Ovis aries: one gene and its partners. The protein of the gene in region 2 interacts with the protein of the main gene of each other region in a pairwise test. Links are inferred from orthologs where the notes say so. Each region holds a gene or a part of one and is shown on either strand. Other genes may lie near its edges.

The links. The genes of interacting proteins can lie anywhere in the genome.
Region 1: the proteins of AGTRAP (region 2) and AP3M1 interact in binary tests that used the Homo sapiens proteins (3 or more experiments, as listed by UniProt). The two-hybrid records come from large-scale screens. The link is inferred for Ovis aries from reciprocal best matches to the Homo sapiens genes AGTRAP and AP3M1.
Region 3: the proteins of AGTRAP (region 2) and TBRG4 interact in binary tests that used the Homo sapiens proteins (3 or more experiments, as listed by UniProt). The two-hybrid records come from large-scale screens. The link is inferred for Ovis aries from reciprocal best matches to the Homo sapiens genes AGTRAP and TBRG4.

Annotation. Positions count from the first base shown.
Region 1 is NC_056078.1:29,219,160-29,222,659, reverse strand, and holds part of AP3M1 (AP-3 complex subunit mu-1), read left to right. Parts: intron 1-2,190; 5' UTR 2,191-2,193; coding exon 2,194-2,466; intron 2,467-3,166; coding exon 3,167-3,338; intron 3,339-3,500. UniProt on the Homo sapiens protein: Part of the AP-3 complex, an adaptor-related complex which is not clathrin-associated. The complex is associated with the Golgi region as well as more peripheral structures.
Region 2 is NC_056065.1:41,204,312-41,208,260, reverse strand, and holds the start of AGTRAP (type-1 angiotensin II receptor-associated protein), read left to right. Parts: upstream 1-1,149; 5' UTR 1,150-1,224; coding exon 1,225-1,359; exon of another isoform or gene 1,360-1,380; coding exon of another isoform or gene 1,381-1,407; intron 1,408-3,949. UniProt on the Homo sapiens protein: Appears to be a negative regulator of type-1 angiotensin II receptor-mediated signaling by regulating receptor internalization as well as mechanism of receptor desensitization such as phosphorylation.
Region 3 is NC_056057.1:78,192,449-78,195,948, forward strand, and holds part of TBRG4 (FAST kinase domain-containing protein 4), read left to right. Parts: intron 1-2,132; coding exon 2,133-2,456; intron 2,457-2,675; exon of another isoform or gene 2,676-2,811; intron 2,812-2,978; coding exon 2,979-3,150; intron 3,151-3,198; exon of another isoform or gene 3,199-3,333; intron 3,334-3,430; coding exon 3,431-3,500. UniProt on the Homo sapiens protein: Plays a role in processing of mitochondrial RNA precursors and in stabilization of a subset of mature mitochondrial RNA species, such as MT-CO1, MT-CO2, MT-CYB, MT-CO3, MT-ND3, MT-ND5 and MT-ATP8/6. May play a role in cell cycle progression.

The sequences.
Region 1 (3,500 bases), on a different chromosome or scaffold from region 2:
TGACTACTTGGCTAAGTAGAGATGCCTTTGAACAAAGAAACATTTTCTCTTTCTAATAAATAGGAAGCCTAAACTATTAACAGCACCCATATTTATTAATACAGTAATTACTAAAGCACATCTTATTAATTAGTATTATTTAAATTAATAACTATTTAACATGCACCACATGGGAAGAGGAAATCATCAGATAGTCTTTAAATGTCAACTGCTTTCATTAAGTAAATGACTTCCTCTGAAAAGAACTGGTCAGGTTGTCATCGTTTTCCCTGTTGATAGAATTGAATTCATTCTGGAAACTCTTCCTTTCCTCTTTGCAATTGGTCTTCATGCTTAGAAACTATATTAATAGATTTTACATTCTTTCTCCTTAGGTTACATTTATCATTCAGCACTGTAATTTTGAATGAATGAACCTCTAGACTAAGTTTCTGGTACTGATATTATTCATATAAAAGAAAGGAGCAAGTTAACGTAATTAGATATTTGTCCACTGTCTCCCACATTACAAGGACAATAAACTCTATTTGAAGTATAACTAACACTCAGGAAAGTATTCAAGCTGTTAACATAAAACCCAATAAATTAACACAGAATGAACACAACTTGTAACCATCATCTAGATCAAGAAATAAAACATTACCAGTACCTTAGAAGGCCAACCTTATGCCTCACTTAAGTCACCACCCCATTCTCCTTCATAATAGAAACCATTTGATTTCTCTTAACTATAGAGTAGTTTTGTCTGTTCTAGAACTTAATATAAATAGAATCATACTGCATGTATCCTTTTGTGTCTAGCTTTGTTCAGTATTGTATTTGTAAGATTTGTCCATATTTTGTTTCATGTAGCAATAATTCATCATTTTCATTGCTGTTTCATTTTAATATATTAGTTTATTTTCCCATTTACTGTTAATAACTGGTAATAGTCTCCACTACTACAGCGTATTTTTATGCATGTTTGTTGTGTACATTTGTACATATTTCTGTTAATCCATCTGGGGGTAGACTTATGTGTTGCAGAGTATTAATACTTTGTGTTAATTAAAATAAATTAAAACTTACCTTTTTTAATACTAAAAACTAAACTGCACAGTATTCTAAAAATGTGAAGTTTAGTAGTTTTTAGTATAGTCACAAAGTTGTACAACCATCATTTCTAATTCTAGAAGATTTTTATCACCTCAAAAAGAAATGTAAAACCAGTAATTCCCCATTCTTCTCCCTCTACCCGGCCCCTGGCAACGGCTAACCTACTTTCTGTCTCTATAGATCTGCCTGTTCTAGACGTTTCATACAAATGGAATCATACAATCTATGGTCTTTTGTATCTGGCCAGCATAATGTTTAAAGATCCATTCTGCTGTAGCATGTACTAGTACTTCACTCTTTTTTATGGCTAAATATTTTATTTCAGATATCTATCAGTATTATTTATCCATTATTTGGTTAATGAATCCATTCATCAATTGATATACATTTGAATTATCTCCACTCTTTGGCTGTTATAAATAATGTTGCTACAACCATTTGTGTACAAGTGTTTGTATGGACATATGTTTCCAGTTTTCTTGAGTATAAAGTAGAATTGTAGGGTCGTTTGGTAACTCTGTCTTTAACTTTTTGAAGAACTCGACACTGTTTTCGCACATAGCTGCAGCGTTTCATTTTCTTGCTTGGTTGTCATGGCTAGAGCCTCCAGTACCACGTTGAAAAGAAGTAGTGAAAATGGAGTATTGTTTGTTCTTTATATTGAGGGAAAGCTTTTGGTCTTTAAGCATTAAATGGTAGCTAAAGGATTTTCACAGATGCTCATTATCAGGCTGAGGAAGTTTCTTTCTGTTGCTAGTTTAAATGTTTTTATCACAAAGGTGGTTGGGTTTTGTCAAATGATATTCTGTACCTTTTGAAATAATAATATTTTTGTCTTTTATGAGAATTGTATATTGATTGATTTTCTTATTTTGAACCAGCCTTGCATTCTTGCATAAATCCCACTTGGTCAGGTTTATGATCTTTTTTATATGTTGCTAGATTCAGTTTGCTAGTATTTTATTGAAAATTTTTACCTCTGTCTACAGATGTTGGTCTGTTTCTTGAATTGCCTTTGTCTGGTTTTGGTGTCCAGATAATACAAAGATACTTTTGTTTGATACATACTAAATTTTAACATTTTTCCTCCCACAGAAAATGATCCACAGTCTGTTTCTCATAAACTGTTCCGGTGACATATTTCTAGAGAAGCACTGGAAGAGCGTCGTGAGCCAGTCTGTCTGCGATTATTTCTTTGAAGCTCAAGAGAAAGCTGCTGATGTTGAAAATGTACCACCTGTTATTTCAACACCTCACCACTACCTCATCAGTATCTACCGGGATAAGCTCTTCTTTGTCTCCGTCATACAGACTGAAGTACCACCTCTCTTTGTAATTGAGTTCCTACATCGAGTTGCTGACACTTTTCAGGTTGGTTATTCATCAAGTCTTTTGAAGTTGGATTATTCAAGTTAGTTGGAGGTGGGACATAAGTATATTCTTTAATTTTGATATATAGTCTGTTTCCCTGTCTCTCTGTCCCTCTTCTTTCCAACTAAGCATAAGTTCATAAAACGTAAACCTTTTTAATAGGGTATACAAGTAGTACATGTGGCTGCCCCTGTTTTAAGAGAACAGAACAATCTCCTGGTCATAGAAACTGTATTTTTTTAATGTATTATAAATTATGTCATCAGGAAATAATAGTGCCCTCCACATGCAATTCTTTGAATGGCACCAAAGTTTTTATAGGTTATGAAATCTTGCATTACTTACATTTCATTTTTTGTCTTGTCTTGCTTAATGTACCAGTAGTTTAAAACTGATCTGTGTCTTTTGGAGTACCTAATCAGGGAAAATGAAGTTTATAGTTCTTATTCTGTTTTAACATTTCAGTGTACTTTCTGGCATAATTTGTAGTAGGAATTCAGTTCAACCTAAAAATATTAAGAAAATATTGAGAAATCGTATATAGAATTATAGAGGGCTTTTTTCCCTCTGGTTTACATATTTTCAACATCTTAAACAGTGAATTATGCTACTGTAAATATGCCCTTTATAATAGAATAAAAAATATTTAGCAAACCTTTTTCATGCCTTCCATTGTGCAATACTATGTATGTTTTATTAGGACTACTTTGGTGAGTGTTCGGAGGCTGCAATTAAGGATAATGTGGTCATAGTATATGAGCTCTTGGAAGAAATGCTAGACAATGGATTTCCACTGGCTACTGAATCTAACATCTTGAAAGAATTGATTAAACCACCAACAATTCTGCGTTCTGTCGTCAACTCTATTACAGGTAAGGTAAAACAGTCTATTAGGAACTAAGCCATTAAAACTTCGTAAACAATTCATTTTTGCTTATGATCTGGCAGATTATTAAGGTAGTCCATTTTGGCCAGAATTATAGTTAGTGGTAATGTTAAAATGGATATATCAGTATATTTCTTTTCTTGAAAAG
Region 2 (3,949 bases):
AAACAGTAGCAAGTCCTGATCAAGGGCTGTCTGCCAGGCAATGTTCTAAACATTTTTACATATTAACAAATCCTTATTAACAAATTCAAAATAACCATCCTTCAAGGAAGATACTATTATTTCTCTCATTTTACGGATCAGAAAACTGAAGCACAGAGAGGCAAAGTGACTTGCTCAAGTAGAACCAGTAAGTGGACAAAGTTAGGACTCAAACTCTTTTCTCTGGTCCAGCTAGTCCTCTGGGCTCTGAATCCCAACAATCGTGCCCAGTGTAGCTATCTGTCCGGTCTCTGAAGCTTACCAGCTCTCTGTTACTCTGGCAGATGTGCTATTCTGCTCAGGGGGCTGGACAGCTGTGTCTCCAAAAGGGACATTCAAATAGGCCAGCGGACTCCGCGACCTTGCAGAAGACCCCACTGCTGCTGCTGCTAAGGCGCCTCAGTCGTGTCCGACTCTCTGCAACCCCATAGACGGCAGCCCGCCAGGCTCCCCCGTCCCTGCGATTCTCCAGGCAAGAACACTGCAGTGGGTTGCCATTTCCTTCTCCAATGCATAAAAGTGAAAAGTGAAAGTGAAGTCGCTCAGTCGTGTCAGACTCCACACCCACCTGGAAAACTCCGCTCTTTGTATCTAGAGTCTGTATCTTGATAGGATCTTAGGACCCACCCAGCCAGTCTTTCAGGTTTCCACGTGGTCTCTCCCCTCCTGGAAATAAGAATAAGCACTCAGCGGGACAGACCCAAGGGGATCCCAACAGTCTTGAATAAGTCTTCCTTACCTTTAAAGTAAGTGTCAGTATTTTTTCTTCAAACATGAATTAGTTCATTCATCCTCAGAAGGATTCTATGAGGTAGGTAACCGTCTTCACTTTCACTGGGGAAGGAGGGAGGAGAGACTGTGCCCTCAGGGATGAGACACCAGCTGTTACCACATCTGCAGATTGTACTTGGAGGTTCCCCCAAGTTCTCCTGGCTGCAGGTGGTCCCGTCAGCCCACCTGCTGGGATTTTAACTCGGCGAGATATTGCGCCCTTTGCGACACAAATCTGGATATTCTCCAGCCGCCCGCCACCCCGCCCCCGCCCCCGCCCCCGGCCCCGCCCCCGCCCCGGCCCCGGCCCGCCCCCGCCCCCGTCCCCGGCCCCGCCCCGTAACTACCTGGGCAGTGGCGCAGTGAAGGCTCAAGCAGCACGACGCCGTCTCCTAGATACCGGGCCGTCGTCACATGACCTACTCACGTGACCCCCCCCCCACAGCCCAGCTGGGGTTGGAGCTCTGGCAAAGGGCAGCCGGCGGGGCGGGGCTGGGCAAGTTTGTTTCCCGAGTTCGGAGACCAGGAGCCCCCGCGGTTGTGGCGCAGGTGCTGTCCGGTTGGGTCGCGATGGAGCTGCCAGCCGTGAACCTGAAGGTGGCGATGGGCGGGGCGGGTCTCCCGGAGCGTGTTGGGTATTTGCGCTTTTAGTAGGTGATTTTAGAGGTGAGGATTTTAGAGGTAGAGGACCGAGAATCTGGGGAAAGTGGAGTGGTGGGGAGAAAGAGAACGAACAGAGCCCAGGTGTAAGGAGGTGGGCGGACAGACCATACCAGGAAGACAGATCCAGAAGGCCAGCAGGAAAGACCGAGAGGGAGCTGGAGGAGGGAAGCAGCCGTCTCTTCCCTAAGACCGGTTCAGCTGGGAGCGCTGAGCCCCTGAGGCTCGCTTTGGCCTGCGCGCCCAGAATTTCTCTGGAGAAAGAGGAGAGCGTGGTGGGGAGGGACCCAAGGAGAGCCCGAGGCTGGACTTGGAGGCAGGACACCTGCCTTCCACCGAGAGAGGGGTAAAGCTTTCACCTGGACCCCCAACACTGCCCTTACCGCCTCTCTTGTTGGGAAGATCAAGTTAAGGAAATCAAATGATCCCAGACAGATGGTTTTTCAGAGTTGATAGATTCAACGTCTTTATTTCTTAAGCAACACAGACACCAATAGAATTTACTCAAAAGCAGAATCCCCCAACTTTGCACATTTAGGAAAACACTGTAGGTCGCTGGGGTGTCTTCATTTCCTGAGCTGTAAGAATGCCAAAGGCTGTTCTTCTTTTTCTCCCCGCCCTCCTCCAGCCCAGTGTTTCTTGGCTGGGTTTGCCACTGAGAGGCTGAAGCCTTTAGCTTTGGTCAGAAAGGTTTTAGCCTTGGACCAGACCTGCCATCTGCGGCCTAGGTACAGTTTCCTTTGAGATTGTATGCAGGAGTACCCTCTTATTCACCCTTGACAAAGCATTATGCACCCATGGTGTCTGGTCCTAAAGTAAGAGATAGATGACTACAGAACAATACATCATCCATATTTGGATTATTAGACATGGTCTGTGTTGTGACTTCACGTGGGCACATTTCCTTAATATTGAACACTTGCTTCAGCAGACCTCTCCGAGGCTTCCAGTCAACTGCTGCAGGGGGAGAGATGGCTGTGACAAGGGAATGGGCTTGGATTGAAGGTTTAGCAGGGAAGAAATTTACACGAGGGCAACTGAGGTTCATTGGTATCAACATTCACTCTGTTCCAGGCTGTGTGCAGTTAATGCCGACTACCTTTTCTCTGATTAGAGACTTGCCTAAAATAATTATTAAGGGGGAAGGAGGAAAGGGACAGAGGAGCAGGAACTGACGAGGGAGTGAGCCCTAATTCTTAGGGCGTCTGTGGTGTGCCGGGTTATTTATTTAGTCGTATCAACCTTCTGAGATTTTTGTAGCTGAGCCAACTTCAGCTCAGACCAGATAGGTAACTTGTCAAGGCCCCACAGAGATTAAGTGGCAGAGTCAGAATTTGAACCCATCACGGTCAGACTTCAAAGCTCTGTCTTTTCCTGGCCACCATTAGTTAGGGCCAACTTCTGCTTTGACAGTTAGTGCCCAGTGGGAGGGCTTAGTCTGTTTGTGGCTTTTTTTTTTTTTTTTTTTGGAGAAACTTTGTGGGCCTCACAGGCCACACGTGACCACAGATGTGAGCTTTGCCGGCTTTCACTGCCCACAGTGAAATAGCTGGTCCTTTCTTTGACTTGGGAAATAAAACACCATATCTCTAAGGGTCTTAGCTGCTACCAATCAGAGACAAGTAAGTGCTGAGAGGTCGTGAACAGCTAGGGTTGCCAGGTGACATTGAGGACATCCAGTTGAGTTTGAATTTCATATCAACAATGAATAACTTTTTAATCTAAGTATGAAAAGTGAAAGTCATTCAGTCGTGTCCAACTCTTTGTGACCCCAGGGACTGTACAGTCCATGGAATTCTCCAGGCCAGAATACTGGAGTGGGTAGCCTTTCCCTTCTGCAGGGGATCTTCCCAACCTAGGGATCGAACCTAGATCTCCCACATTGCAGGAGGATTCTTTACAGCTGAGCCACCAGGGAAGCCCCAGGATACTGGAGTGGGTTATCCTATCCCTTCTCCAGTGGACCTTATATCCCAGGCAATATTTGGAACAGTCTAGAAAATTATTCATTATCTGAAATTAAAGATTAACTAGGGGTTCTGTTTTTGTTGTTGTTTTTTCTGGCCTCCCACAGGAGTCTAAGTGGGCTATTCTGAGATCAGAACCCCTTGGGAGCTCAGAAAATGCCCAACCCCCCAACCCTGCACTACCCTTGCCCTCCTTTCACACATTCCTGGGGTATTGGCTCAGTGCCTGCTTGTGCCCAGCCCACCCACAGTAGGCAGTGGTGCCAGGTGAACAGAAGCAGCTGCCCCGGGCCCTCCAGGTAGTTCCTAACCCAATGCCACACATGAGGCAAGTCCTGAGCTGAAGGAACGTCATTGTGAGAGTTTAGAAAGTTCTAGACTTGGGTTCATGAGGGCTTGTGAGAAAAGGCCCTTGGGAGGAGGGTGCAGGGGGTTAGTATAGCATGAGGGTTAAGAATTCCGGAACCTGACTGCACAATAGTCAGGGACTGCCTTGTCTCGGGGCTTCCCAG
Region 3 (3,500 bases), on a different chromosome or scaffold from region 2:
TTAGATCCCTTCTTGTTCTGAGATTGTCATTCTAGTCGTTATTTATTAAACCTTTTACGCAAAAGCTTTAGAGACAGACTAAACATTGTAGCAAAATTACAAGCCAATAATGAACCAGGATTTAGAAATATAAACTGATCATGCTTTCTTTTAAAGAATCCTACTGTCTGGGAATTCTACAGAAACAGCAGAAGTCACTGAAGGCTCATGTGATGCTGAGATCAAATGCCTACTTTTCTTTTTTCCTCCATACCTTGGCTTGTGGGGTTGTTGATCCCCCACCAGGGATTGAACCCAGGACCCTGGCAGTAAAAGGCTGGAGTCCTAACCACTGCCCTGCCAGGGAATCCCCATACTTTTCTCCTTCTGCCCAGCCCTTCACACAACTGCTTTTCTGTTTGCCCCTCACCTCGTGTGTATGATTTCAGTTCCTTCTCTTGGCAGTGCAGCCTCATTTCACAGAAGAGTCTGGAGACTTGAAGAGTGGCAGAGTTAACAGCCTTAGCATAGCAGACAACAGAGCCATTCTCATTTACCACATGCTGCCTTCCCTGAGGCTGGGGTCTGGGCCAGAGGGCTCCTCGTGTTTCTCTGAGGTCTGGAAGCACACCCTGCAGGGAATGGCTGGGTCACCTGCCGGGGTCCAGCCCCGGTGGATCCAGGGAATTCGAAGCGGGGACGGCGTCAGCGAGGAAGGAACTTATTTATTTATTAATATAAGATTAGATTAGGAAGAAATAGTGTAGTAGGAAAATTAAGTGGAGAAAGAAGGCTGAATAACTTGGCTTATGGGGAAGGCCAATAAAGTTCCAGACAAGGAGCTTGCACCATCTACATTGGGCCACAGGTGCCCACTTGAATATCAGGGGGTGCCCCGCCTTGGGCTCCCCTTCGCGTGGATCTTAAAAGCCGGGACAAGTAAGTAGACATGGTGAGCCGCCCCACTCCAGATGGGAATTCAGCCTGAAATTAGAGTAAAGAGGAGACACGGGGAAAACCAGTCCAGCGACTGGCCCCGTCCTCTGTTGTTCAGAAGGCCTTTTATACTTTTGATAAAACATGGAGATCAATGGATAACACAAAGTAATGCAGCATTAGCAGTCCAGACTCATCAAAACCAAGCTTTTCTCTCTGCATACCTAATTGTATACACAAGTCTTAGGTGATTTACATCATCTTCTGGCCAAAAAGGGGCCAATTAACATTTTACAGCCTTTTTTCTGATAAGGGTTTGTTAACTAGAAGACTTATTTGCGTTGATCTTCCCAAAGTCTGGTGCCACTCTCTGAAAGCACTAAAAAAAGTTATATTCTTACATAGCAAGGACACAAGAGGAGTGCAGTGATATATAAAAAAAGAAGTAATTAACTCAAAAGTCTAGTGTTGCTAACATCAAAACTACTATATATCTTTTTCCATATCCCGTTTACATTGATTAACATCCTCCCAGGTGCCTAAAAGATAAAGAATATGGAGGCCTGGTGGCAGTCATTGAGTCAACAGTGAAAACCCGTCACCGATATGATTTTTAGCTCTTAGACAAGGCTCTGTATCTTAAGATGCTTTAAGCTCTGTGCCTCTTGCGGTTGGGGGGCTGTAAGCAGTTCATAAGCTGTAAGAGGTCCGGGGGAACCTGTTAGGCAAGCTAGAGAGCTGTCAGAGGGGTTTAACTGAAACATCCCTTTCAAACACAGAAGGCTAACGCCCTGATTTGACTTTTTCCAGAGAATATTAGAAGAGTCAAAAAGCAGGCAGATTCTTATTTTTGGGGGGCGGGGGGGTGGGTGCTCAGGAAATTCCAGGGGGAAAACCTGAGGTCTGATTAGCCTTGCCATCAGAGCTCTGCCGCATGACCTTGTCACAGGTGGAATTCCTCACGCTGGCTCCCGGCAGTCACCCTTGTTCAGAAATGAAGCTGGAGGCGGGGTGAGCGCTGTGGGCAGAAAACAGTCCCAGATAGGCTATTAAGGAGCCTCCTGGTGTGCCCAGTAGATATGCCTACATTAAAATAACCAGTTCTCGGGAGGCAGGCTCCAGCTCAGAGCCTTGGCCTGCTCTATGACAGGATCAATAAGGTCCCAGGTGTGACTTTGCCTGTGTGTCTCTCCTGCCCCACCCCACTCCCCACCTAGATAACTGTAGTCTGGCATGGGACCCTCGTGAAGCTGCTCCGGAGCCTCTACACGCTGGGGCTCCCCGCCACCTCCAAGGACCTGCGGTCAGTGGAGCAGGAGGTCCGCTGGCGCATGCGCAGGCTCAAGTACAAGCATCTGGCCTTCCTGGCCGAGTCCAGCGCCACCTACATGCAGGAGCAGGGCTCCCGGGAGCTGCTGGCTGAGCTGCTTGTGCACCTCGAGCGGCGCTGGGCAGAAATTGAAGACGGACGCACGGTGGTGGCCATGATGATGAAAACTGGGCATCTCTCGGAGTCTCTGATGAACCGCCTGGAGGACAAGGTACTAAGGGACAAGAGCCTTGTGGCTTCTGACCATAGTCTGGGGCATGGCACTGGCAGGACTGGCATTTTAGGTAGCTGCAGGCAGCACTTTGTGCCCAGTGGTTCCTTCAAGGATCCAGGGGGTTGCAGAGCCTGAACAAAATTTTAGTTCAGCTTTGGTTAGTGCTTCCTAGAGACATCATGCCTGCTGCCCCCTGCTCTACCGCAGCCTCAGCCCCGCAGTCTAGTCAAATTCAGCCCTGTTCCCGTGGTAGCAGGGGCTGGCCCGGATGACTGCCACAGCAAACTCCGCAGCTCATGGGCCCTGGGTCCCCTGCTCTGGGACCTGGGGATAAGTTTGGCTACGGACACAGTATACCCGGTCTGGGGACTCCCTGGGGTAGGAGCAGAGGCAGGCCCTGCACAGATGGGACCTATGTTTAGTAAGCTCAGGCCTAGTTGCTGTCTCGCAGGGCCTGCACTGCATGGGACCCCTGGCCCTCGGGCCATCAAGCTGACCCCTGCCGGCTGTGGTTGACAGTGCCTGGAGCTGGTGGAGCAGTTTGGCCCTGAGGAGCTGCGGAAGGTGCTGGTGACGTTGGCAGCTCAGAACCGGAGATCGGTACCCTTGCTGCGGGCCATCTCTTACCACCTGGTCCAGAAGCCCTTCCCCCTGACTAAAAGCATCCTCCTGGACCTGGCCTATGCCTATGGTGAGCCCTGTGCACGGGGAGTGAGGCTGGGAGGGGGAGGGTTCTGGCTGCAGCTGTGTCAAATTCAGTGCCTACCTCAACCATGGCAGGCACTGGCCCAAAAGGCTGCTACAGAAACACTGTGACTCATGGGCCCTGATCCTCTGTGCTAGGCCTCAGGGATAAATTTGGTTACAGACACCAAGCTCTTAACTCCTTAAGACCAGGATGGGTGGTGGGGTGCACGTGAGGGCGCAGCCTGCCACTTCTCACCAGTTAAATCTCAGGCTCTGTCCCCAAGGCAAACTCGGCTTCCACCAGACCCAGGTGTTCCAGCGCCTGGCAGCTGATCTGCTGCCCCACACGCCAAG